Linked DNA regions of Sus scrofa. The protein of the gene in region 2 purifies or fractionates together with the protein of the main gene of each other region. This does not show direct contact. Links are inferred from orthologs where the notes say so. Each region holds a gene or a part of one and is shown on either strand. Other genes may lie near its edges.

Region 1 (3,500 bases), on a different chromosome or scaffold from region 2:
TATAAACATGAAATATTATTAAATCTTAAAATTAGACTTAGTCAACAAAATCTTAAATATGCATTGTAAACCATCAAATCCTTCCACTTATACCCAGTACTCATAAAAGAAACAAGGTTAGAAAACAATAACAAAATATTGATAATTTATAGTAATTATGCTAGTCTTCTGGGCCCTTTTGACTCTGTACCAAATGTCTTTCACAAGAGACTTTGGTCTACCGACTTCTTTTTTTTTTTTTTGTCTTTTTGCCATTTCTTGGGCCGCTCCCGCAGCATATGGAGGTTCCCGGGGTAGGGTCGGATCAGAGCTGTAGCCGCCAGCCTATGCCAGAGCCAAGGCAATGCGAGATCCGAGCCGCGTCTGCGACCTACACCACAGCTCAAGGCAATTCCGGATCCTTAACCCACTGAGCAAGGCCAGGAACCGAACTCCAAACCCACAACCTCACGGTTCCTAGTCGGATTCGTTAACCACTGAGCCATGACGGGAACTCCGGTCTAGCAACTTCTAACCCTAGTTTAACACTGACCTCTCTCCTGGAGACTGGAGTACAAAAGCAGATATACACTGCCCTTGAGCGATAAGGGATAATTCATGAACCAAAATGGGAAGCAGCGCAAGGAAATCATATGTTAAATTCACAGAAAAAGACAGATAAATAACCCTACTAGGGTACTTCATAATTCTTTTTCGAGTATTTTAGTTAGTGAAATAATAAAAGTTACATAAGAGTATTTAGAAATTAATCCCCCTTTCCCTAATTTCCAAAATTTAAAATATGGACGTCTCCGTCTCTTTAAAGAAAAAGGAAACAGTCTTCAAATGAGTAGAAAACAACCCAGAGAAACTTGAGAAAGTCTTTGTCTTACCGGTGCTTCTGACATTAGAACAGGATGTAGGCTGGCTTCTGACTTGACATGCATTTTGTAGGTATGATCCAAAATAGCCTGGAAACTATCCCAATCTTCAACTAGAATATGAGAGTAATACCTTGAAAACAATGCTAGTTGAAGAATACAGCATATTTTGAGAGATTGTTTCTAATGATTTAGCTTCTAATACTTTTAATATACAGAACCTGCTTATTTTACAGATCTTCTTCATAGAACAGTACTTTATATTGACATTATCTTTGTTTTCTAGATATGGTTTCTCCAGCCCCCAAAGTATTACAATCCCCAGACTTGTCCCAGATGTAATTAATGTATTAAATAGACATAAAATACCAGATAAATATTACTCAGTAAGTACTTATTAGAGGCCCAATATGCAATTGGAATGGTAAGGGAAACAAAGAACTGTTATGATCTAGACCTAACATTCAAAAAGTATACTCTACAAAAAAAAAGATGAAAAGACATTTTAAAAATTTAGAAAATAGTATGTTTTCAATTTGGACTCCACTTAAACATTCCATTGAAACTGCTTGCGTAAACTGCTAATAAACTGCTAATAAGCTTCTAACGGCAAATCCAGTGGATTCTTCACATTTGTAATCTCATCTGACCTCTTTAAATTAACTGACACTATTGATTCCAGAGTTTACACTTTTCTTGCCACAGAACATTGAAGAAATGTCATTACTTGTACAACATACTTCTACAAGTCTATCAGGATGGGGTTTTTTGGTAAATGGAATTCCTTAGTAGTTTTAACTTCTCTTTCCCTTTAGTGTAAATCTCAACGGCATAGCAGAGAACAATGAGAATCACTGCACTTCTTTCTATACTTCTAGAACATTTTCTTCTCTTGGCCTTCTCCTGAATTTTTTCCTACTTCACTAACCAATCCTTTTCATTCTCCTTCACAGGCAGCTCTATTGGTTAAATATATAATAAGTTTTCAGAAAGAATCCCACCCTTAATTCTCTTCTCATATCCCAAACTCTTTTCTGGATAACGCAATCCATGTCTTAAAATCTTTCTCACCTGCTTACTAGAATAGCACTTATGTTCAAACACTTGGAACTAACAACAAACTCATTTACTTGCTGTTAACTTAGCAGACCTGAGTAAGGCCTGCTTGCAAGGCTGACCCTTGGCTGCCCCCTAGGAATTTGGCTGGTAAACAGTTCCCTACATTGATATAAATGTTCCCTAAATAAGAGTAGCTCACTCTGCCTAAACTATTTATACAAACAATGTGAACACCTTATTTCCTTCTGAGAGTCTGGGATTTTGGTACATGTTAGGTATAGATACCTATATGACCAAACCAAATAAAAACCATAGATACTGAATCTTTTTTTTTTTAATAGAAAAGAATCACTTATTCCAAGTATCAAGATGATATAAGAAAAAATATTTGCAACAATGTCCTTACACCTTTTTTTTTAAACAGCCCTATAGAAGTATAATTTACCATGACATGGATACATTATAAGCTTTACAATTAAATGATTTTCTTTTGTAAATCTACAAAGTTGTGTGAATATTATTACCATCCAATATTAGAATATTTCCATCCCTCCCAAACTTCACGCCCTTTTGCAGTCACTTCCTACTCTATCCACAGCCCCAAGCAACCACTACTCTGTCTATAGAGATTAGCTTTTTCTGATTTTTTTTTTTTTTTTTGGTCTTTTTGCCATTTCTTGGGCCGCTCCTGAGGCATATGGAGGTTCCCAGGCTAGGGGTCCAATCGGAGCTATAGCCACCGGCCTATGCCAGAGCCACAGCAACACGAGATCCGAGCCGTGTCTGCAACCTACACCACAGCTCACGGCAACGCCGGATCCTTAACCCACTGAGCAAGGTCAGGGATCGAACCTGCAACCTCATGGTTCCTAGTTGGATCGTTAACCACTGAGCCACGACGGGAACTCCTCTGATCATTTCTTATTACATTACATTATTTCATTCTGATCATTTCTTATTACATTACATTATTTCATTATGTGGAGTTTTATTTTAGCTTACATCAGTTATTTCATTTTTTTTTATTGCCAAACAGTACTTCATCTTATGGATATACCACATCTTATATATTTGGGCTATTTTCACTTTTTGTCTGCTGATATGGATAATGCTGTATGAACATTTGCATAGAGGTATTGGTACAGAGATATGTTTTAATTTCTCTTGTATTGGTACCTAGGAGTGGAACTGTTTAACCCATTAAGAAACTGTCAAAATTATTTTCCAAAGCCACAGCCACTACACCATTTTATGTTTTCTCTTAGAAATAGATACAGAGTTTTAGTTTCTCTATAACTTCATCACACTTGCTATTGTCTGTCTTTATAATATGGCCATCTTTGTGAGTGTGAAATAGGGTATTGAGCCTTTTTTTAAGCTCCTCTAATAGACCACACACACACGTTTCTGGTAGCTGAAGGAATTAAGCACATCCTTTACAACTTCACTATAAGCTCCTGGAAGCCTGCACTAGTTTCTTCTGGACTTCACTACATGCCCCTTTTTTTCCCTTTGTCAATTTTGCTTTGTATCCTTTCAGCATAATAAACCTTAGCCGTGAATACAATTATATGCTGAGTT
Region 2 (2,695 bases):
TTCACCCTGTGGGGCCTGGAGACTATCCCTGGTCCGGATTCCAAAGTGCGTGGGGCCCTAACCTGGCCCAGCCTTGCTGCAGCGGTGAGTGGATGGATGGGCCCTTCCCTCCCAGGCTCCCCTTCAGAGTTGTTTGCTGAATCTTGCCCTTGAGTGGACTTGGGGCTTTGGGGCTGGGGAAAACACTGGGGCAGCATGGCCTCCCACCACTCTTCCCTGTCCTGTCTATGATTCTGAGCAGTTGGATCTCTGCCCTGAGTATCTGGGCCAGCTAGTCACTATACTGCAGCAATCCGATAGTAGGGATGATTTCCTCCTGTTGCAGATTCACGCCCAGGTACCAGAGGACTGAAAACCAGACCTTGAAACTGAAAGCCACTGATCCCTTCACTCCAGTGAACCCCTTCACTTTGGGAGCCTTCGTCACCCCAATAAAGGCGCTCTTCACAGAACCTGTGAGTGTGCCAGTGCTGTCTTCTCCCACAAGAACCTTTCATGGCTCTGGCCCATAGAAACAGTTTATTGCCAGGGGGCAGTGGGGCAAAAGAGGCCAGAATTTTGCAGCCAGTACCTCCCCCCCATTCCTACTTTACAAAAGAAAATTGTACAGCCACCAGCCCCCTGTACAGAGCACCCCACCCCCTATCTCACTGTACACAGCTGCCTGGCTCCCTCTGGTCCCTGGTTCACAGCAGGCCTGGGCCTGCAGCCAGCTGACCTTGGAGTTGACCTGAGCCCTGAGCTCTCCTTGGTGCTAGGCACCAGCTGGCCTTTACCAGGCCTGTCCTCTCCCTGTGGAGCTGTCCTCAGCCCTGTCTCCCCTTGCTGTGCCTCTTGGAGACCCCAGTGGGGGCGGGATAGGCTGTCAGCCCCAGTTCTGCTGGCTTTGCCGGCACTGCTAATGGGCAGTGCCTGGTCACCACTTTCCCCTCTTGCTCCAGTCCTTGGGAGTGAAGTGCAGACACTTGGAGTCGATCCGAAGAAGCCGCTTGAGCATAGCCCGTTCATGCCCGTCCACGATGTCCTCCGACAGTGTGAGGATATACTGGCCCTGGACGGGAGACGGGGCCAGGCAGGTCAGCCCGAGCAGGGCTTGCACGCTGCTCCCCTGCACACACCTGTCTCCCCTGCCTGCCTCCCTACCTTGTAGTAGTTGATGAGGTTGAGGTACTGTAGAGTGGAGATGACGTCCTCCTTCTTGATGCTGGTGATTTCACTGATCTCACTGTGGAGGGGCAAAGACCAGGTTTCCCGGGGCTTCATCTCTGCCCCAGGCTCCCAAGGGCCCGAGGAGTGAGAAAGCCCAGGAATATGCCATGCACCCCTAGGTAGGCAGGGCCAGGCTCACTTGATGGTGATCTGCGGCCTCTCCCCGCTCTCCGACTTCAGCCCCATCAAGATCTCCAGAATGGTCTGGGACCAGTAGCTTCGGTAGGATAGGAGGCCAAGGTCCGAGAGGGGCTTCTCAGGGGTCCCTGTTTTCCCTTCCACTTTGGAGAGTTCATAGCCTAAAGCAATGGAGCAGGAGAGGGTGGGTGAGCGATCCCAGCGTTTTGCCACCCTCTGTTAAGAGCACAGGCTGCAGAGGGAGACTGCCTGGCTCCCACCCTGGGCCTGCCAGGTGGTGGTTCTGTGGCCTGGATGCATGGCTTGTCTGTTCTGTGCCTCAGTTCCTAACAGAGGACCAGTGACCATACTCTTCCGCTGTGTGCTGAGAGGTTCAGGTCCAATCACCTAAGAGCCAGCGAGGGCTTACAGCTGGGGTGGGGGAGTACAGAGGAAGTGGCTTGTGGAAAGAAAGTGGCTCCAGCTTTCCTCTGTCATGCTAGACTCAGCCTGGACGTGTGAGGAGAGAAGTGGGCAGGCCCCACCTCTGGTCCGGGCCTGAGGGGACGCTTGGATTCTCAAGTCAAGTCAGTTCCTGAGAAGCATCAGCTGCCCTAAGACCAGGCTGGCCTGACTGGTGGTTGTGAGGAAGGAAGGAGGGGAGCGGCAAAGCGCTCCCCCAGGCAGGGAGGCCAGTCCTCGCCAGGGGACTGCCCTCCTGCCACCCTTCCCTCCCACTCTGACGGCTCCACCCTCCTCCTCTACCCTGCTGACCACTGGGCACTGGCAGGCGGTTCCTGGTGAGACCCTGAGGCCTGTGAAACTGCAAGTGGCTTCACAGCTCTTGGACAGAGGCCCTGAGATGTCCACTACTTCTAGAAGCCCTTCTTCACCCTCAGCCAGAACCAGCCTTGGGTGGATGACGGCCCCCTGGGCTTTCTCTCCAATACATCTTTCTCTGCCAGTCTGAGCCCCTTGCCCAGCTTCCTGTGGCTTCCATCATGCAGCCTGTTGGGGAGGACAGAGAGGCTGGTGTCTGCAGAGCAAAGGGGCACACAGAGTTCTCACCCTCTGCACAGAGGGTCCTGATGGCTCAGTGGGGAAGCCACGCCTCTCCGGAGCTGCAGGAAGCCCCCCCCCCCCCGCCCCGGGAGCACCCACCCACCCTCTGGAGCTGCCTGGAATGGGGCTTCTGGTGTCCCTGTGTGCTCCAACTGGGCACAACTCGGCACAGCTCCTTCACGGCTCTGCCCACATCCCATCTCCCCTGAGGTCTGAGCCCCGAGGTTTAGACTGAGTTTCTTTCAGCTCTGCCTGTTTCTTTCAGCTCTGCCTGTTCTACCAGGCTGAGGGCTTCCTAAGGATGTGA
Region 3 (4,053 bases), on a different chromosome or scaffold from region 2:
AGGCAAAAGACTCTAGACTATAAATACTGCCAGGGTTTGTTTAGTTTTAGATTGACTTTTAAGAACCTTCACTTGCAACATTAAAGACATGGAAAGGACAGGACAAAAAGTCAGAAAGCCTGAGTTTTAACTCTAGTTCTATCAGAATTTGGATTTCTTCCTAAAATTGGGCAGGTGAAGCAGGCTCCTGAAAATAATGCAAATCAGCACTCATGCTCTAGACTGAAAAGGTTAATAATACAGAATTATAAAGGGGAAGCATTTATTTTTATTGCATCATTTAAAAAGTAACTAAACCACAAGTTTTCTTACTAAATTAAGATAAAATGCCAAGACATACCTAAGGGCCTAAAACAATACATAAGTACATAGCTGATCACTGTCTGCAGAAAGTAATATGCATTCACAGGAGTTCCCATCATCGCTCAGTGGTTAATGAATACGACTAGGAACCATGAGGTTGCCGGTTCAATCCATGGCCTCGCTCAGTGGGTTGAGGATCCCACATTGGCGGGAGCTTGGTGTAGGTCACAGACGCATCTCAGATCCCCTGTTGCTGTGGCTCTGGCATAGGCCGGCAGCTACAGCTCCAATTAGACCCCTAGCCTGGGAACCTCCATATGCGGCAGGAGAGGCCCTAGAAAAAGGCAAAAAAAAAAAAAAAAAAAAAAAAAAAAAAAAGTAATATATATTTCAGGGGCTAACTATTCATTCTAGAATAAGGTTTTTAATTCAAGTTCTTCCCAAACCCAAGTAATAGGATCCAAGTAACTACATACAGTATTGATACTTCGAGACTCATTTGCCACTTTTTCTTTCAGGGACATATTAACAGAAATACAACTTCGTGGAATCCAAAGCTGTGTTTTTTAAAGTTCAATTAACTTAATTCTCGAACGTGCTATAACTTCCTTATTTTAATTATCTTTTTCATGGAAAACTGACCTAAGCTAGAAATAAATTTTATTTAAAAACAAAAAGAATTTCCACATATGATTTAGCTCTAAAATCTTCAGCATAAATGTTGGGTTTTCATTTTGTTTATTTTTTAAGTTGAATATTCATTTGACACTGAGAACATATTCCTTTTCTACGGAAAGTGCAAGGCTTTCAAGTAATCAAACATTAACGAAGAATGTGGTTAAATCACAGCAGAAGTAGTAATAACAGGGTAATATAATGAGGTCACAACTGGAGCAACCAATCAAAGGCATTAAAGCATTTCCTGCAATATTAATAGTCATAAGAGAAAACCAATCACAGAAACCTTGGGCCTTCTTTTGACAGTCACAGAAGCAAGAGAACCAATCCACGCACACCCGAGGTTGACAATAAGGCGGGACCACAGGTTCATTGAAGAAATTCTTGAGGGTGCAGTTACTATGAACTTCGCACACAAGTAGCACCACTCGAGTCATAAACACTGTCAAGCCAGAGGAAATTCAACCATATCCAAAATTTAACGCATCAGGGAGAAAAAACATTTTTGCCCCAAATTGCTGCTATTAATAAAAATGCAGCTGTCAATATGGATGCAATAGGTCCTCAACTTCTAAAACACCCCCCCATGGCAATTTTTCAGGGACGCGGGGCGAGGACTGTGGAGCATCGGCAGCTAGTTGCCTAACATCGCCAGTCCCTTTCTAAAGCCTCACACTAAGCAGGCACCGTCCGGGCTAGGCAGGCAGAACCGACTCGCTCTGGGCCCGGAGCTAGCCGGTCAGCGGCTTCTAACGTTACATCCTCCTAGTGGTCGTGGCCCTCAGCCTCCCCGGCCGCAGTGCTGCACCACCTCAATCCTGCTGCACCAACGCGGGCCGGGGTGCGAGAATTACCTTGCTAAGAGGAAGACGATGTTTTGAAAGCGTTTTACTTTCCACAAGTCATTTCAAAAAGAACCCAATGCAAGGCTGAATCCAAAAGTGGGGGAAAAACGTTGCCTAGCCAAAGCATCCCCTGCGGATTAAATAATCCCACTCCAGGGGGACAAAAAAGGTAAACAGAGGCCGTACGTCAAGTGCGGCCAGAACATCCCCTGCGCCATTCCGGGCCGCCGCTTACGGCAAGGCCCCCTTACGGCAGCGTAAGCGGCGCTGCGAGCTAATCACAACACTGGGACGCAACAACATGGCGGCCGCGGGCGGGCGCTGCGCCGGCCGAGAGGGTTTACGCTACTCCGCCGGCGTAAGGTCCCAAGCGTTGGAGCGGCAGCGGCGCCCTCCAGCGAGCGTAAAGCGCTCTGTGAATGGCGAGGCCCGACTGACAAAGGGGAGGGGGGAGGAGGGAAGGGGGGGTAATAAACACTCGAGTCCCTACCGATTCCTCCTCCTTCTCCATCCCGGTGGGCATCTGGGGCACGGCCCGGTTGATGGAGACGCAGTCGTTGAGATCAGGCATGTCCTTGCCGCGGTAGATAGGCAGCGGTTTGGCGGCGTCCAGCGCCCGCGCTCGGAAGGAGAGTTTACTCATTGTCTCCCCGCCTTACAGGAACAGCCCGGGCGGCGGCGGCGGGGCGGGCGGGGAGGGGGGGAGGACTCCCGCCGCCTCCTCCACCACCTTCCTCAGTGCAGCGCGGCCGGCCCGCTCCTCCTCCTCCTCCTCACTGCCCCCGGCCACAGCATGGGCGCCCACCCCGCCCGAAAACAGCCCCCCGCCGCCCGCGGCCGCTTCCACACACTAGATCCGCCGCTCGCCCGCCCGATCCGCTCCCTGCGCCATGGCCAACATGGCGGACATTACCACAGCGGCGGCGAGCGATCCCGGCAGCCCGCGCGAGAGCGCGCCCCCGCCGCGGGAACGCGCCTCGCCCTCTCCCTCCCTCCCTCCTTCCCCTCCCTCGCCTGCCCACCCACTCTCTCCGCGGCGCTGCCGGCCCGCGGGAGCGTGCTCAGCCTCGGGCCGCTCCGGGTAGGGGGGCGGCAGCGGCCCTCTGCTCCGCTGCCGGCGCTCTAGCCGTGTGGCAGGTGTCAGGTGCGCAAGTTAACCCGCGCCCCCGAGCGTGCGCCTCTGCCTCCGCGGCCCCGACACCCAGCTAGTTGGGTGCCCCGGAGGACGGCGCCGGGCAAAACACAGCCGCGCTGAGCAGCCCGTGTGTGCAGAAGTCTGTGAGCGGGAAAGGGAAGATGTCAACCGAGCCACAGCTGCCCCACTGAGCCTGTACTTACACAGCACTTACCTCCACAGCGCCAGCTAATTCTCATCCTCCAAATCGCGCATCCCTGGGAGGTGCGAAAGGTCCATTCCTTCCGTCCGCTCCGAGGGGCGCAGACCTGTCGGGTCTCGTCTGCCCCGAGAACGCCTCCGCAATCCCGGCCCTCTTCCCGCATCTTTTTTTTTTTTTTTTTTTTTGGTACCTGGCCGAAAGAGCTCTCCAAGGTAAGGCATCCTCGCTTTCGCTGAGAGGATGCTAATGGCAGCAGTGAGGGTTAATGTTTGAGGCTGCCAGATGCAACAAGTGCACTTGAACCTGTCACCAAAACTTCAGAGTTATTTAATGGATGATATTTCTGATTTCAAAAATATTAAGCTTATAATTTTTAACCAAGGCAGAGAACATTTCCAGAGTGATAGATCCGTGTAAAATATTGGATGCTGTGGAAGATGCCAAGAGGTTTGAGGAAAAGTTCCTGTCCTCGTGCAGCTTTCACTTTGATGGGATGACAGAACGGTTAAAAAGATGAGTAACAGTAAGAGATGTAAATAGTTGAAGAACAGGGCAACTGAAAAGTAAATGACAGCCAAAAGAAAAAAAGTTTATAACTTGAAGAAAACTACATAGGCAATGACACAAGGCAGTAGAACATGCTTAATTACCAAATGAGTCATACAGGCCATAGTTGCCATGAGAGTTCAGAGAAAGGAGACTACTTTAGCCTGAACCGGTTAGAGAAAGTTCTAAAGAGGAGGTAAAATCCAGTTGACTCAAATTTATTTGGCAGCGATTGTTGATATCAACTTCATTTAGCCAAGAGTTCCTTAGTTAGACTTTAAGCATCACAGTTTTCCTACAAAAATCCCTGGGAAGAGTATAACACATTTTGTCATTTTCTAATA
Region 4 (4,071 bases), on a different chromosome or scaffold from region 2:
GCACACAAGCTCCTGAGCCAGGGATCAAACCCGAGCCAAAGCAGCAACCCGAGCCGCTGCAGTGACAACACCCGATCCCCAACCCACTGAGCTACCAGGGAGCTCTTAAACGTGACTTTTAAATTCAGGAGCAAACAACAAACACAGGTAACGGTCTCGAGGCTGCAGTGGGCAGGTGGAGGGGGCCGAGGCCGTTTCTTTCTCTTCTACGGTTTACGAGGGGCTGGGCTTGTCACACGGAGCCAGACAAGGCAAAACCACAGCATGAGCCACCAGCATCAGTCACGAGAGGGAAGACTCTGGGTTGACTGTCACCTGAGATGGGGCCAGGGTGCCCAGTCTGCTGGCACACCTGCAGGGCCAGAATCAGGCTGCAGCTGTCCCGCAGGCCTGGCCCGGCTGTGCAGGCTCCGGGAGCACGCGATCCGAGGGCCGTGACAACCCTGCAGAAAGGCCATGGGGCTCCCGTCTCACCCATGTGGGCGGGCCACCGGGGTGGGAAGCAGGTGAGTGCAGGGGAGCAGGCACCGCCGATGCTCAGCGTGTTCCACCTGGCTGGCAGCTCGCACCTGCCGGACCGGACAGAGACGGTGGAGACGCAGCCCATGGGACGAAGGGAGAGCTTAGCTGGCAGGAGGGACTCAGGGTTGGGGGCGATCAGGAGACACTCGGGAGCCGTGCTCATCACCAGGCGGTCAGCGTGTAAACGTGCTGATCGGCATCGAGGAGCTTCAAAACCCGAGGGTTCCTGCGCCCACGGCACCTTGCGGGTGGGGTTCAAGGCCCCAGGTGACCGTGACGTCAGCCCCACAGCCATGCTAGGGTGCGAGGAAAAGAGAGAAGGGCCACTGTCCCGGGCTGAAAGCCCTGGGTGCCCCCGCTGCAGTTCCCTGAGTGTCACGTGGGCCCTGTGCTGGGGTCACAGCCATGGGATCCTCTGGGCCAGCAGCGTGCCTAAGAACCATCTGCCTCCCCCAGGTCGGGGACCCTGCCACTCTGATCTCTGGGTCCAGCCAGCAGTCAGGGCTCAGGACGTGCCTGGGGGCCAGGTGACCTCACAGTGTGACAGGTATGCGAGCCCAGTCAAGCTGTGGAACCCGGGAACTCACGGAGGGCAAGGCCCTGACCAGCAGGCATGGCCCTTTGGGTGGGCCTGGTGTAGTTTAGCGGCCAGTTCTCGAGTTTCTAGAATGCCTACTGCAGGCCAGGCGCTGGTCCCAGGACACAGTGGTCACCTTTCTCTCCTCCCTACACCAGGACGAGATGTGAGTGCCACGCCCAAGGCCAAAGGGAGGGAATGGCAGTGAGGTTTCTGGACCCAGACGGCTGGGGGTCTGCTGCCCCCTTTGCCCACACGCACCAATTCTCGCCTGGGGGCGTGAGGGGAGATGGAGCCTTCCCTAACCCAGCACAGGCTCCCACCTCACCGGGCACCTGCCACCCGGCTCCCACCCACTCTCCAGACACCCTGGCCTCCTCTGCGTCCTCTGATGCACCAACGCCTGCTGCCACAGAGCCTTGACACCTGCCGCTCCTCTGCTGGGAACGCCACTGGTCTCTTTGGCCACCCTGTTCCCCTAGTTCATCTGCCCCGCTAACGACATGGCTCAGGGGGGGTTCCGTGAGGCCCGGGTCCCTGCCTGCCTGGTTCTACCAGCAGTCACCAGTGTCACCTTAACCTGACTCAGACCCTGCCACCTCCCTGCCTACAGCACTCTGGGACTTTCTGTAAGACTGACAATGGCCTCAGAGCCCCTCCCACAGGCCTCAGCTCCTCAGTCGTCTCCTGGCCAGGTCCTAACTGACCCCTCAATTGCAAGTAGGTGCCATGTGATAACCAGCTACCGTCACTAGGTTTGTGTTTTCTGTAAAACTGCTCGGAGCTACCTTGTTGAACAACTGGTCCCCTGCGGGGCAGCCCAGACGTCAAGTTCCCTGAGGACAGGGCCTGGTGTAGACGCAGGGAGGCGCACGGAGGGGGCTCTCGGCCACCACCTGTCTGGGGGAGGGTGGGGGCCAGCTCACCAGTGCCTGCATGTCGTACATGGTGCTCAGGTGGTCCCAGATGACCTTGGAGGGCACTTGCCGGCCGATGTTCTGGCTGAACTTGTCCCGGATACAGATCATGTGGAAGTGCCGGTTCACACCTGCAGGGGGAAAGGGTCAGCCCGTGGGGGCAGACAGGTAGTTTGGAGAACAGACGTGGGGGTCAAGGGGAAGAGAGGGGAGAAGGCGCAGGGGGAGACGGGGGCAGTGCTTGGAGGGCGCGGGGGTAGAATGGGGTTGGTGGCAGGTACAAGGGGGGAGAGGAAGAGGTAGGGGTCAGTGGGGGAGGAGCAAAGGGGGCAGGGGTGCAGGTGAAGGCAGGGGTCGGCCGGCGTGGGGGGGTGGGGGCGGGAGGGGGCAAAGTCGAGCGGGGGAGGGGACTGCAAGGAGCAGGCCGGGGAGGGGCGAGCAGGTGGGGGCAGGGTGTGCAGGGGTGCAGGCGCAGGAGGCCCCGCCCCGCCCGCCCCGCGCGCGCCCCCGGCCGTTGCCGGCCGCCCCGCCCCCACGCGGGTGCGCGGCCTCGGCGCGGCGCTCCGCTCACCGACGGGCTTGTGGCCCAGCATGGCGTGGAAGAGGCACACCTCCACCTCGGGGCTCCACACGACCGTCTCCTCGGCCGGGCTGGTGGCTGCCTCCCCGGGCCCCTTGTCGCCCGCCGCGCCACCGCCGCCCACCTCGGCCTCCCCCATGGCCCGGCCGCCCAGCGACGAGCCCCCGGCGGGAGCGGGCGCGGCCACGGGCTCCGCGCAGGCGCACTCGCGGGGCGGGCGCGCGCTCGGCGGGCTCGCTCTGGGGTTCGCGCGCGGAGTCGGCGCAGGCGCAGCTGAGGGCGGGGTCGCGGCGCCCCCTGGCGGCCAGGTCTCTCAGCGCAGCGCCGTCGGAGCCTGAGGAGGATGAGAGGGACTGAGGATGTAAACGCCCTAAATTAAGTTGTGGCGATGGCTGCACAGCTCTGGGTAAACCCCGCAGAACTGTGCGCTTTAAATGGAGGAATTGCAAGTTACACCTCAGTAAAGCTGCTAGGAAGAAAAAGAACAGGCAACTGACAATGCCCGCGAGTGTGGCTCCAAGGGCTTCAAAAGCCCCTGGCTGACCTCTGGCCTGAGTGTGGAACAGAGCGGCCCCCGCGCGCCGGGGCAGAGGCGTCTGGGCCCCGCGCCTTGACCGCGGGCCTCAGCCTAAAGGGCAGGAGGGCCCAGGCCGGAGGGGGCGGGGTTAACCCCCACGGAGGGGCGGGGCCTGGGCGGAGTCTGGCCTGGCAGTCCTGTGACGAACTCAAAGAAGCACCCAATGGAGGCCGCCGGCTCCGCCCCGGCCCGGCCCGGCCCCGCCCTCGCGGCTCCCCCCGCCCCTCTCCGCTAGGCCACGCCCACCGCGGTGCCAGGGCTCTTGCCCAACGCGCGAGCGCTCTTCACCTCCCGGGTGTAGACTCCCGCGTCGGGCTTCCGGGTCCTCTTCCGGCTCCGCGACCTGCTAGTTCTGTGAGCGCTGCAAGGTGCTGGACCTCTTCAGGCCTAAGCTTCCTCCTCCGTGCAGTGGGGTTACTGATGGGGCTTGGTTTCTGGGTGCCCCAGCACAGGCTCGGGCGTCTTAGCAGACATTTGGAGCCACAGCGGTGAGCGCTGCCCCTTGGCCGTGTGGGCTCTGGCCAGCCAGTCACCTCCCGGTGGACTCAGAGCCTGAGTCCCGGCTTCCCATGCTGGTGCCCACAAGGTGGGAAGACGCGGTCAGCAGAGCCGGCCGTCCTGTGAGCCATGTTATGGCTGGACGTTGTGATTCCATTATTATTATTATTTGCTTTTTTTTAGGGCTGCACCTGCGGCGTATGGAAGTTCCCAGGCTAGGGGTCGAATCAGAGCTGTAGCTGCCAGCCTACACCACAGCGGGTGTGAGCTGCATCTGCAACCTAGATACCACAGCTCATGGCAACGCCGGATCCTTAACCCACTGAGTGAGGCCAGGGATCAAACCCGCATCCTCATGGATCCTAGTTGGGTTCATTAACCGCTGAGCCACAAAGGGAAC
Region 5 (4,115 bases), on a different chromosome or scaffold from region 2:
GTCTCACTGGAAAGCTAATATAATTCCAATTTAAATAATGATTCTGCAAAGGAAGCCTAAATAATTCCTATCCTCCAATCCTCATCCAGCCCTAGGGCAGATTTTATAACTGGAGACTTTCAGGGAAAAAAAAATGTTTCAAATAGACTGGGTTCCAAACATGAAATTCCATAGTCACATTAATAAGGAAGGCAATAACTGAAAAAGACCTTAATTTTCCAAAATATGTATAAATATGAAGTATTTGACAATACTTCATACATTCAAAATATTACCTTCAAATCCTTCAAGGAAAAAATAAAACAAATTCTTTTTTAGTGACTATTACCAGGGATAATTTTAAGACCCCTGGGACAACTGCATTCTTTGATTTTATGAAAATAACGGCTCTCGATAATTTTTTCTAAATGGATAACTGCTTAGACAACCTCAGAATCTCTGCTCTAAAGAATAGCAGGTATAAGTTAGAGGGCTTGCTTTTATTCTGTGAGAATTAAATTCTTAGATCAGAGGTCTCCAAGCAGAATGTGGCAATTCTAACAAGCTCCTGAACAACTTGGTTGTCCCAAACGTTATTTTGAAAATCAGAAGAACATTATAATCCAGATTTCTAAAATTTCTTTTAAAATAGAAAGATAAGGCAATACTGAGTCCTCAATCCCACTGGACTGGCCACCTTTTTAGGAGAGGCATGGGCTCTCTAGTACCCCAGTCCTCACCTGTGCCCTCAATTCCTGACTATCTCACTGCCAGGGCTCCCTAGAGACATCTAAACTTTTGACCCCCATTCTATACACTTCCTACTGTTCCCATCTGTCAAATATTAGACACTATGATATACTCATTTCTCTTCCCCTTTGATTTTTTTCCTCCTCTGATCTATTCATGGAACACCCACAGTACTATCCCATACTCCAAAGACATGAGATTATGTCTATCCTAATCCATAGAACCACTTATGGAAAACATTAATATCAAAACTCTGAGAAATCATTGATAACACTTTACAGTCTCAACCACCACTTCCTAGCAAACTTCACTCTGCAATGCCACTTTTCTTCAACAATTCTACCTTCTTTATACTGCTCCTTCGACTCAAATACAGTCAGACCGTAATAAGCTGCTGAATATGACACGGTCACATTCAACCTTTGGCTCCTCTACAGTTCCAATTTCTGCATTAAAGTAATACCAAATTGTGCTAGATTCCATAGGTTTACAGAAGTCACATGACTTTTGGTTAAAGGTGATTTCTCCATGTGGCTTCAACTTCACACAACTATTCAGATAGTTTAGAACCTACTGTTCTTAAATAAATCTGACCACTTCTTCCTGAAAGAGTACAATTTACTTCAACATGGTGCATTTCTCATTCCCCATTTAAATAGTGACAGCTAGAACTCTCATCTAAACACTACAGAAAGATTCATTTCCCTGCATACAGCTTCTCTCACTCACCTACAGCCACTGGAACTTATCACCTGAGAATCTAGAATTATGAGATTTACAAACCCGCCCCCCACCACCACCTACAACCCCAGGACAAGGCCCCACCTCACCTTAGCGGTTAACAGGAGAGTTTACTACAATATTAAAAGCAACAGAACTCTTTTTCTCTCTAACCCCAAAAAGGACTAGAACTGAACGGAAATGAAAATGAAATGGAGAGTAGGAGACGTACCGCAGATTGAAACCTCGGTTGCTCTTCCTGGAATAAGAGAGAAAAAAAAAATAGAAAATATAGAAGTTATTTTTACACTTCACATTCAATAATAAGAAAGAAAATGCCGGCGGCAGAGGAAGCGGCGGGTGGGGAGTAAGCCTTACCTCCCCCTCCCTCCCTTCCCACCCCACGCCCCCATCCCTCCTCCCCAGCTGGATCCGGTAGGGGGGCGGGGGGGGGTCCGAGCGCCACCCCTCCTTCCGGGATCCGAACCGGGCGAGAGGGGGTCCACAGCACTGTCTCCTCCCCTTGCACCCAGCTCAGGACTTCTGGGCACTCCCAAACCCTCTCTGCCCTCCCTCACCCCCCAGGATCCGCCAGTCAAGGGAGGAGGGGGCCGTGGGCCTAAGGGGCAGGTCCCGAACGCCGTCCCCTTCCCCAGAATCCGGACAATGGGATCCCGAGCGCACCCTGTCCCTATGTCCCGGATCCTGAGCCAGCCAGAGAGAGAGTAGGAGACGGCAGCACCTTCCCCCACGGGGGGAGGTGGGGGTCCCAGAGGCCGCGTGTCTCCTCCCCACCTCCAGACCCAGAAGGCCGCTCCGGCCAGGAGCCCGGAGGGGAGCGAGCGGGGAGCGCGACGGAGGCGGTCCCAGCCCGGGGGGTGGGGGTGGGGGAAGGGGAGAGGCGGCAGCTGCCCGGCCCCCTGCCGCAGTCGCCCTGCTGAAAATCCCGGCCGCTGTCCCCGCCTGACAACTCGCAAGGGAAGGAAGAAGCCCCAGGACTCACGTCGCTCTCCACCTCGATGTCATCGTTATCGCTCATTTCCTACGGCCCAGGGAGCGGCCACTGCAGCGGCGGCAGGGAAGGGGGAGGGGTGGAGGGGAGGGGGAAGTCACCGACAACAACAAGCCGAATCTCCACACACACACACACACTCACTCACTCGCTCTCTCACTCACACACACACTCACACACACACACACACACACACAACACGGGCGAGAACCACCTCCTCACTGCAGCACCGGATCAACGGCGGCACGCACGCCCGGTCGGCCCCCTGCCACGTGACCAAGCTCGTCACGCTGGGGCCGCCGAGACTTGTAGTTCATATCCCTTTGAATGATGGCCCGGCTAGCTCCAGAGAAACTACAAATCCCATAAAGAACTGCATCCAGTCATTCCCAGCCCGACTTGTTGACGGAGCCCAGAGCGCCTGCGTGTCCGGTGGAGCAGGGGGGAGTGGAGAGAGGAGCGGCGCGATGCCTGCCGGGAGTCGTAGTCCGCAGACCGCGAGTTGTCAGGAGATTTTCCTACAGAGGCAGCAGAGGTGGCTGCTGGGAAGACAGGACACGTGGAGGGAGCTGGGACTCCTGGAGCCGGGCACTGTCTGGGCGCCTGGCCCAGGGGACAGGGTGGAGGCTGTGGACGAGTAGCCGGTTGCCGAAATAACGCTGTCTCTCCTTGATGCGACTGGTTTTACTTTGTTTTCTAGACCTCTGAGTCGCTCTGTGTTGTGCTCTGGGGCGTAACCCGTCTGCTGTGGGATCCTGCTGCGGGGGACTAGGGGGCGCGGCTGCGGATGCTCACGTGGACCCTGGGGATCTGGTAGCGAAGAGGTGTCAATGGCAGGTGTTAGTGTTACTGGACAGGCAGGATGACCGGCCTAGCTGAGGGACCATTCCCACGAGACTCTTGTATTCATTCACCCTGGAGTGACCATTTTGCTACTCAAGTGAGGCTTGTACATTCCCAGATCCTGACCCTCAACAACTGCTTACGTGGAAATAAAAACGCCTTCTGAATTGGTTGTAGTCTAAGCAGTTTAAGAAGTGCCCCAGTTCAGAGTAGCATAATCAGTATATCAAATGAGAAACAGCTCTCTATCCACTTAAAATCCCACTTAAAAACTGCTGTATGCGGGAGTTTTAGTCGTGGCGCAGTGGTTAACGAATCCGACTAGGAACCATGAGGTTGCAGGTTCGATACCTGGCCTTGCTCAGTGGGTTAACGATCCGGCGTTGCTGTGGGCTGTGGTGTAGGTTGCAGACGCGGCTCGGATCCCGCGTTGCTGTGGCTCTGGCTAGGCTGGCAGCTACAGCTCTGATTCGACCCCTAGCCTGGGAACCTCCATATGCCGCGGGAGCGGCCCAAGAAATAGCAAAAAGACCAAAAAAAAAAAAAAAAAAAAACCAGCAACAACAAAAAAACAAAAACTGCTGCATGCGGTATGATCATAGCTATTTCCCCAATATTTATTGAACACCTAACATATGCCAGCACAAGAATGCCATAATGTATAAGACCTGAACGTTACCCATCTTCATGAAGCCCACAGTTGTGGAAACAAAAACGAGACTGCCCTGCTGCCAATTTAAGAGTATGTTCATCAAGTACCACCGGAAGAAAAATACTACTACTAAGAAAAAGTAACTGAACCACACTTTAC
Region 6 (4,273 bases), on a different chromosome or scaffold from region 2:
TATATAAACAAGAGATGTTCATTAACTGATACACACAACGACTTTTACTGGGAAACTACGGTGTTCCAAGTACTGTGTTAGAGGTAGCTAGACATATAATGAACTAAATAGACACAAACCCTACTCTCCTGGAGTTATAATTAGTGGGAGAGAGTGACAATAAAAAGTGCACTTATAAATCAATGCCTAATGCCAAATTGTGATATATGTCTCATAGGAAGAAAATATATAATATCAATGGATAGCAAAGTTCCCACTGTGACTTAGTGGTAATGAACCCAACCAGTATCCATGAGGATGTGGGTTCGATCTCTGGCATTGATCAGTGGGTTAATAATTCAGCATTGCCATGAACTGTGGAGTGGGTCACAGACACGACTTGGATGCCCCATTGCTGTGGCTGTGGTGTAGGCCAGCAGCTGCAGCTCTGATTCAACCCCTAGTCTGGGAACTTCCATATGCCACAGATGAGGCCCTGAAAAGACAAATGAAATAAAATACCAATGTAGAGGATCATTTTTTATAACCTATTAAGGAACACATATTACAGGGGGTTAAAAGATCTGAATAAACTGGTGCCAGGCACAGAAAGAGCGAGAGAACCAACATCTTAGAGGAGAAACACAGCCAGCGAGCTCTAAAATGGAAAACTGCAATGTTGGAGGAAATGAAAGACAACTAAAGGAACAAGACAGTAGTTAGCTAGAGTAAGACAGTAGTTAGCTAGAGTAAGAGTATCATCAGGTAAAATTGAATTCAATTAATACATTAATCCAATTAATACATCTAGGCTCCACTTCCAAGATGCAAGTGGTATAACACATATTTCCTAAGTAACACCCTCTGAATTGGCAAATCCATTGTTCCTTTTCAGATCTCAACCAAAATGATCCCTTTGCAGAATTTGACAATGATGCTTATACCATATCTTTCTGGATCTAATTCTGCCCTTAGCACGCCATCTTTTTTTGGGGAGCCGTGCCTGTGGCATGTGGAAGTTCCCAGGCCAGAGATCAAACCTAAGCCACAGTGGCAATACAGCCACTGCAGTGACAATGCCAGATCCTTAACCCGCTGCAGCACAAAAGACCACCATGCCATTTTTTTCTAATGCTAAGAGTGTGGGCTTTGTAGTCAGACTGCACTAGTTCATACCCTGGTCCTGCACTTACAAACTATGTAACTTGGGCAGTTAGCTAATCTCTCTCTCTTTTTTTTTTTTTTTTGTCTTTTTAGGGCCACATCCACGGCATATGGAGGTTCCCAGGCTAGGGGTCTAATAGGAGCTATTGCTGCCAGCCTAGGCCAGAGCCACAGCAATGCAGGATCCAAGCTGCATCTGCAACCTACACCACAGCCCACAGCAATGCTGGATCCTTAACTCACTGAGCAAGGCCAGGGATCAAATCCACAACTCCATGGTTCCTAGCCTGATTCATTTCCGCTGTGCCACGACAGGAACTCCAACTAGCTAATCTCTCTAAACCTCAGTTTTCTCAATGATAAAATGAAAAACCACATTAGAATTGAACTAGAACTTCAAAGTTACTTTAAAGATTGATGTACATGTTTAACACACTGCCTGGGACATAGCAAATGCTCAATAAATATCAGCAATTATCATTATTCCCTTCTTTTCTGTTTCGCATCTCTTTTAATGGTTCTTTTTCCACCCACACCTGAAAGAATATCCTTGTCTCCTTGCTTCTCAATTTTCTCCCAGTTAAGACCATATCCCAGTAAGAGCATATGTTCAACATGTTGAAAATGCCCAAATGTACTTCATTACATGCAGGACCTCTCTCTTCTCCTTTTTTTCCATTTTTTAAAGTTTTATGGAAGGACAGTTGATTCACATGTTGTGGTAACTTCTGCTGTACTGCAAAGTGATTCAGTTATACATGTACACACATCCATTCTCTTTCCATTTCTTTTCCAACATAGATTACCACAGAATATCGGGTAATGTTCTCTGTGAGGCTCTCCCTAGAGCTTCAGGAACCTTCCACACGTTATGCCTTCATATGCATTTACCCTTCTGTCTGTAAGGCTCCCACCTCCCTCCAGGGCAGTTTAACACTGAAATCTCACTGCAAACTGAAACTGATTCTCCCAGGCCGTTTCCACAGAACTTCATTCACTCCTCTTCCATCACAATGTTCTTCTATCACATTATCACTCTGAATTGTAACAGTCTTTTTACTTCTCTGTACCTGGTAAAAAACAGCAAACACTCTTGAGTGGTGACACAGGATAGGATGATGACGAGATAGATGGTACAGCGAGATCACACAGCCAGCTGACAGAACCCCAACTCCGGGAGTGTGATTCCAGAGCCCAAGCTCTTAACCACGAAACTTCAGTTTAAGCCTCAACGAATCACTCGTTGACTTAAACTACTAATTATGACAGGGGAGAAAAAGATGATTAGTTAAGCCATCTAGTTAATTTCTGGGCACAGAGGCAGGGGACGCACAGGAAGGTTCAAGGCTAAGTCCACCAGAGGCACGAAAAGAGAGCTGGAGAAAGCAATGAGTACCAGAGTCCCGTCAAGATGAGGTGGGGAGAGGAGTAAAGGGGCGCATATGGGGGCTGGGACAGAGCGGCCCGGAGGCATCTTAATTCCCCAACGCAGACGCCACTACACGGCTTACGCACCAAGACGGCTGGACTGGACAACCAAGTGGAATCCCTGGTGGCGGCGTAGCCGCAGACCAAATCCCCGCTCCACTCCCAGCAGCAGCCCGAGCCACCTGTCCACGCACTGATCCCGCTTCCGACCAAACTCAGCGTGGCCACGCAGCGTGCGTCCCGGGCGGAAGCGGTAGAGGTGCGGAGCGTTCGGGTACGGTCCGCCCACGCGCGCCGGACACCAAACACTCTCCCAAAACACCGGGCTCGGAAGGGAACGCGCCTGCGCACTGTCTGCCAATGGCATGCGACCCTGCAGCCACGCTCTCCCTGCGGCTTGGTCTCCAACGCTCGCGCCCCGCCTCCTCGCCCCCTTGACCCCACCCGCCAAACGTGAGCACGGAAATGACGTCAGTGCCAGGGAGAACGGAGGCGGGTTTCATTTCGGCGCCTTTCTTTCTCCCGCGGAAGCGATTGGCTGGCGTGGAGCAAAAGAGGCGGGACAAATTGCAGCGGGGTTCAGTGCCGCCACCGGGACCGGGAGATGCGGCGCAGGAGCCGTCGCTGTTGGCTTTTACCTGAGTCTCGTCTCTCACTGCGGGTACTCCTGCGGCTTGGATCATGCTGCTACCCTCGGACGTAGCCCGGCTGGTATTGGGTAAGCGTTGACGCGGTAGAGAGGGAGACCGGACCGGGCTGAGCTGGACGGAAGGACCCTCGGGGCCAAAGGTTTCCCCAGGGAGGGAAGCTCTGGGGCTTTGCCTCCCCGTCTCCGAGTTCAGGCTGGCGGTGGTTCTTCAGCCGGGGGCTCGGGCGGTTCGGGCTTTGTGTGTGGACACTCCTCTCCTTCGAGGTTGCGTGATGAGGAGAGGCTGAAGGAAGCCCGGAGTGGAACACCTGAAGCCGGGATTGGAGGGAAAGTCAGGCCTACACTTAATTAGGACCCTGCCGGGAAGCTGCTACGTGATGCACCGACGGCTTCACCTTGGCACACTGCACTTTGTCAGAATTGGGACCAAAGTAGGAAAGAGAGGGACTTCCCCCAGCCCCCTCCCCCCAGCTTTGTAGAAAGACATTCCTGACGCCCTTCTCGTAACTCGCCCTTAGAACTGCGAATTTGGGACGAATGGGTGATCTTCCTTCCTTATCCCGTCCCTCCGCAAGAAGTCGTCCAGTGTAGAGGTTTGAAACGCTAATTGCATACTTTCTGACGGCAGCAGCTCGGGTTCTTTTAATTAACAAGAATTTTCACAGGGGAAATGCCTTCCATTTGAACATTTCTAGTCCTAGTTAGTTTTTCCTCATTTTGAAAACAGTTTAGTTCCACGGCCAGTTGTCAGGGTACATTGTATGGGAAACGGGTTTTGTTATTTGTCGTCTGAAAGAATAGAGGATTGTACTGCTAGGAATGAAAGCCACATAAAGCTTAAAACTCGAGCCAGTGATTTACAGGCATCGTATGTAAATGGTAAACATCTGTAATGAAACTTCCCATGGAATCTACAGCCATTACTTTATTGTCACAAAATCCCATTTCTTGCTACTTTTTAAAGAACTCAGCCCTGCCCCTCCCCTCCAGTGGCTTTCGTGCACAGGTTTCTGATAAGTACATTTTACAGAAAACATTAGAGGGTAATCTGTT
Region 7 (3,500 bases), on a different chromosome or scaffold from region 2:
TGCTGGGCTAGGAACTGAATGGGCACTGTAGCTGATGGCCTACGACACAGCCACACCCGAGCCACTTTTGTGACCTACACCACAGCTCATGGCAACGCTGGATCCTTATCCCTCTAAGCAAGGCCAGGGACTGAACCCATGTCCTCCTGGATACTAGTCAGGTTCATTACTGCTGAGCCTCGAAGGGAACTCCCAGAACTTTTAGGCTTTTTAGAAAACCTTCTAGAACCTAGTCCCCTCCAAGTAGCATCTACCTTTTTAAATACCACCTATTTTTTTCTCTTTTTTTTTGGCTGCACCCGCAGCAACATTCCAGCTGTGACCTGTGCCACAGCTTCAATGCCACAAGGGAAACTTCTCACTTTTTTCCCCTGACTTTCAGGGCTGCCATCTGCAGCCCCAGGTAGGGGTCAAATCCAAGCCATGTCTTTGACCTATACCAGAACTCATGGCAACACTGGATACTTAATCCACTGATTGAGGCCAGGGATTGAACCCACATCCTCATGGTCACTAGTCAGATTCGTTACCACTGAGCCACAGTGGGAACTCCCTTGTTCACCTGTATTTGTAATTACACTCAAACATCAGTAGCTTGATCAGTATCTGCAGAACTTGCTACAGCTACAATGCCTGGTAAAGAATATGCGCAGAGGCTTATTCAACTGAACTAAAATTTATTTACAGCTATGATTAGAACACGTAATATATATATTGCCTGAAATTTCTTGCCATGGAGTTCCCATTTTGGCTCAGTGGGCTAAGAACCTGACATAGTGTCTGTGAGGATGCATGCAGGTTTGATCCCTGGCCTCCCTCAGTGGGTTAAGGATCCAGTATGGCTGCGGCCTATGTCTCAGCTGCAGCTCTGATTCAACCCATAGCCTGAGAACTTCCAATATGCCACAGCTGTGAACATGAAAAGGAAAAAGAAAATTTTCAGTTTTCACCATGTATGGTAAATGGAACAGACTTAAGGTTTTAAGCTGTATAACCTGCATCTAAGAGCACAATTTCTGCTGTTTCTGCCATTGATGATACTTGGGTGTAAGTGGTTTCAAAAAGCAGTAAGTGATTTCACCTTTGTTAATACTAATTGGTGTGCCAACAAAAAAGGGCAGATGCTATTTATGATGCTCAGAAGAATCAGATGTTTTCTAGATCTGAGATAGCACATAATGGTTAAGAGAACCTGAAACCAAACCTGGTTCTTCCGCAGCTGTTACCTGAATGGTCCTTGATTTCCCACCTGTACCAGAGAAGTAATGGTTCCTATCTCACAAGATTAAAATAGGAAATGTAAAGGCACTGACCCACAATAAGCACCCCAATCTCAAATCACTGCTACCAGCTATAAAGCTCTCACCAGATAATGGCAAAGCCCTCAGTATTTCCCAACTTAAAGCTTACCGCCTTATTCCTAGACAAACACAAGGTACAGCGCACACTTTCACACATTTCTTCCCCATGTTTAAATAAGATACCCATGTTTCTTTTTCTAGCTTAAATTATCAATGTTACAGTTTCTCTAAACACAACTATTACATTTAGCTGCATAAACTTACCCTAACCTGCCACAATTGCTCATTCTCACAAATATTTTGTAACAATAATTATACTTTCAGAATGGTTCAACAGCCTTTCTTACCATCAAGCCGTTTACTAATCTGCTCCTTTGCAAGTCTAGCTGGCCAGCATTTTCTTACTGTTTCGGCAACTGAAGTTCTTTCATTTTTCTCTCCATTACTGCAGGCAACATTCTTCAAACCTGGACTCTCCATCGGTTCTTTAACACTTTCAATGCTCCTAGAAGTCTGTACTTCCTGTGATTTCTCTTCAACACAGTCTTTTGACTCAGACACATCTAGATCATCAACATTACTCTTTGTTGCTTGGTCTAAAAGAGGGAGAGTCACTGAAGAAGCTGGTGGTGAAGTTCTTTCTGGTGAACTAGAGCCTTCTGAAATATTAAGAGGTGTGGGTGGTAATTCTGACAAGTGAGCCAACTCTTTTTGTGTTCGTGGAGGCTTTTCAGTAATTTCTGAAAGCTTTACAGGGTTGCAGCAAAGCTTGGCATATTCACCTCCTAACCTATGACACAATTCATTAATAATGACATCACAGTCTCCAAGAAGCTCTACATCAAAATGCAGGTGAGGCAAAGGTTCCCTATTAATTAATATCTGAGGCACTTCATGGGGTATGGAACCTAAAAATAGGGTGAAAAAGTAAGAGTTAGAGAAAGGAAAGGAGGTACACTAATAAAACCACAACAAATGCACTATGTAAAAATCTAAAATGCTCAATACCGAAAAAAGACACCCACCTACAATATTTAACCAAGCCATTACATATCAAGCTATCAAGCATCTTTGAAAATTTCAAGTTCTGCTCCATCGTCTGGGCAATCACTTCCAACTTTTCCATTCTGTACCAACACATTTTGCTACCCCACAGAAAACTTTTAAGAAATACTCTGCCTGGAGTTCCCATCGTGGAGCAGCAGAAACGAATCCGACTAGGAACCATAAGTTTCGGGTTCAATCCCTAGTCTCTCTCAGTGGGTTAAGGATCTGGTGTTGCCGTGAGCTGAGGCATAGGCTGCAGACTTGGCTCAGATCCTGCGTTGCTGTGGCTCTGGTGTAGACCAGCTGCGAGTAGACCCCTAGCCTGGGAACCTCCATATGCCGCGGGTGTGGCCCTAAAAAGCAGAAAAAAAAAGTTCTCTGCCTTACCTTTAAAGAGGGAAAAAACCTTCAAAAATAAAGAAGCTCATTTTTCCTTTTTTTTTCCTTTTAGTTATAAATTGTTCTATAGTCTACTTTAACAGAATTTAACAGCTGTTTAGGGAAGACTGAGTTAAACTGCTAAAGCCACTACACGTAGGTTAGGATAAAGAATTGGAGAATTTTACTCTGTCTCTTCCAGCATTCTGGCTGCCTATTTGCTGGTGTGGGGGTCTAATTTAATTATCTAGCTAAGGGTTTTGATATTCTCGCCTCTGTTCTCCTTCGCTCATTTTTAGGGCACAAGTGACGCTACTGAATTAGTCCCTTTTCTCTCTCCCACTTGCTTGCTCACTAGAGAGAGAAAAAAGGTACACTATAGAACATGGGTTAAAGAAATATTCATGAGGGAGTTCTCACTGTGGCTCAGTGGTAATGAACCCAACTAGTATCCATGAGGATGTGGGTCTGATCCCTGGTCCCACTCAGTGGGTTAAGGATCCGGTGTTGCCAAAAGCTGTGGTCTAAGTAACAGACACGAATCGGATCTGGTGTTGCTGTGACTATGGTGTAGGCTGGCAGCTGCAGCTCTGATTCAACCCCTAGCCTGGGAACTTCCATATGCCATAGGTGTGGCCCTAAAAAAGTAATAAATATTTGCAAGCGTAATAGGAACTTAAAATTGTATCTGAGCATTTGCATGCACATCAACACCCTTGTGGATACAGCTGATGCACATATCATGATTATGACAAGGACTCATCTTCTTACCAA

What was found.
Region 1: the proteins of KAT5 (region 2) and ACTL6A purify together in Homo sapiens (affinity purification with mass spectrometry; 6 studies listed by BioGRID and IntAct, with this or other methods). This does not show direct contact. The link is inferred for Sus scrofa from reciprocal best matches to the Homo sapiens genes KAT5 and ACTL6A.
Region 3: the proteins of KAT5 (region 2) and EPC2 purify together in Homo sapiens (affinity purification with mass spectrometry; 3 studies listed by BioGRID and IntAct, counting the BioPlex papers as one, with this or other methods). This does not show direct contact. The link is inferred for Sus scrofa from reciprocal best matches to the Homo sapiens genes KAT5 and EPC2.
Region 4: the proteins of KAT5 (region 2) and MRGBP purify together in Homo sapiens (co-immunoprecipitation; 8 studies listed by BioGRID and IntAct, counting the BioPlex papers as one, with this or other methods). This does not show direct contact. The link is inferred for Sus scrofa from reciprocal best matches to the Homo sapiens genes KAT5 and MRGBP.
Region 5: the proteins of KAT5 (region 2) and MAX purify together in Homo sapiens (affinity purification with mass spectrometry; 3 studies listed by BioGRID and IntAct, with this or other methods). This does not show direct contact. The link is inferred for Sus scrofa from reciprocal best matches to the Homo sapiens genes KAT5 and MAX.
Region 6: the proteins of KAT5 (region 2) and ATM purify together in Homo sapiens (affinity purification with western blotting; 3 studies listed by BioGRID). This does not show direct contact. The link is inferred for Sus scrofa from reciprocal best matches to the Homo sapiens genes KAT5 and ATM.
Region 7: the proteins of KAT5 (region 2) and SIRT1 purify together in Homo sapiens (affinity purification with western blotting; 3 studies listed by BioGRID). This does not show direct contact. The link is inferred for Sus scrofa from reciprocal best matches to the Homo sapiens genes KAT5 and SIRT1.

Annotation. Positions count from the first base shown.
Region 1 is NC_010455.5:117,608,415-117,611,914, reverse strand, and holds part of ACTL6A (actin-like protein 6A), read right to left. Parts: intron 974-3,500; coding exon 873-973; intron 1-872.
Region 2 is NC_010444.4:6,563,830-6,566,524, forward strand, and holds the end of KAT5 (histone acetyltransferase KAT5), read right to left. Parts: intron 1,509-2,695; coding exon 1,349-1,508; intron 1,226-1,348; coding exon 1,144-1,225; intron 1,052-1,143; coding exon 917-1,051; 3' UTR 501-916; downstream 1-500. Other genes in the region: RNASEH2C (ribonuclease H2 subunit C), read left to right, coding at 1-84, 326-352. UniProt on the Homo sapiens protein: Catalytic subunit of the NuA4 histone acetyltransferase complex, a multiprotein complex involved in transcriptional activation of select genes principally by acetylation of nucleosomal histones H2A and H4.
Region 3 is NC_010457.5:3,523,424-3,527,476, forward strand, and holds the start of EPC2 (enhancer of polycomb homolog 2), read right to left. Parts: upstream 2,801-4,053; 5' UTR 2,470-2,800; coding exon 2,317-2,469; intron 2,227-2,316; exon of another isoform or gene 1,836-2,226; intron 1-1,835. UniProt on the Homo sapiens protein: May play a role in transcription or DNA repair.
Region 4 is NC_010459.5:62,057,130-62,061,200, reverse strand, and holds the start of MRGBP (MRG/MORF4L-binding protein), read right to left. Parts: upstream 2,801-4,071; 5' UTR 2,736-2,800; coding exon 2,588-2,735; intron 2,148-2,587; coding exon 2,026-2,147; intron 1-2,025.
Region 5 is NC_010449.5:89,165,466-89,169,580, forward strand, and holds the start of MAX (protein max), read right to left. Parts: upstream 2,801-4,115; 5' UTR 2,489-2,800; coding exon 2,453-2,488; intron 2,283-2,452; exon of another isoform or gene 2,134-2,282; intron 1,709-2,133; coding exon 1,682-1,708; intron 1-1,681. UniProt on the Homo sapiens protein: Transcription regulator. Forms a sequence-specific DNA-binding protein complex with MYC or MAD which recognizes the core sequence 5'-CAC[GA]TG-3'. The MYC:MAX complex is a transcriptional activator, whereas the MAD:MAX complex is a repressor.
Region 6 is NC_010451.4:36,619,291-36,623,563, reverse strand, and holds the start of ATM (serine-protein kinase ATM), read right to left. Parts: upstream 2,801-4,273; 5' UTR 2,659-2,800; intron 2,400-2,658; 5' UTR 1,680-2,399; intron 1-1,679. Other genes in the region: protein NPAT, read left to right, coding at 3,253-3,289.
Region 7 is NC_010456.5:71,115,167-71,118,666, reverse strand, and holds part of SIRT1 (NAD-dependent protein deacetylase sirtuin-1), read right to left. Parts: intron 2,210-3,500; coding exon 1,649-2,209; intron 1-1,648. UniProt on the Homo sapiens protein: NAD-dependent protein deacetylase that links transcriptional regulation directly to intracellular energetics and participates in the coordination of several separated cellular functions such as cell cycle, response to DNA damage, metabolism, apoptosis and autophagy.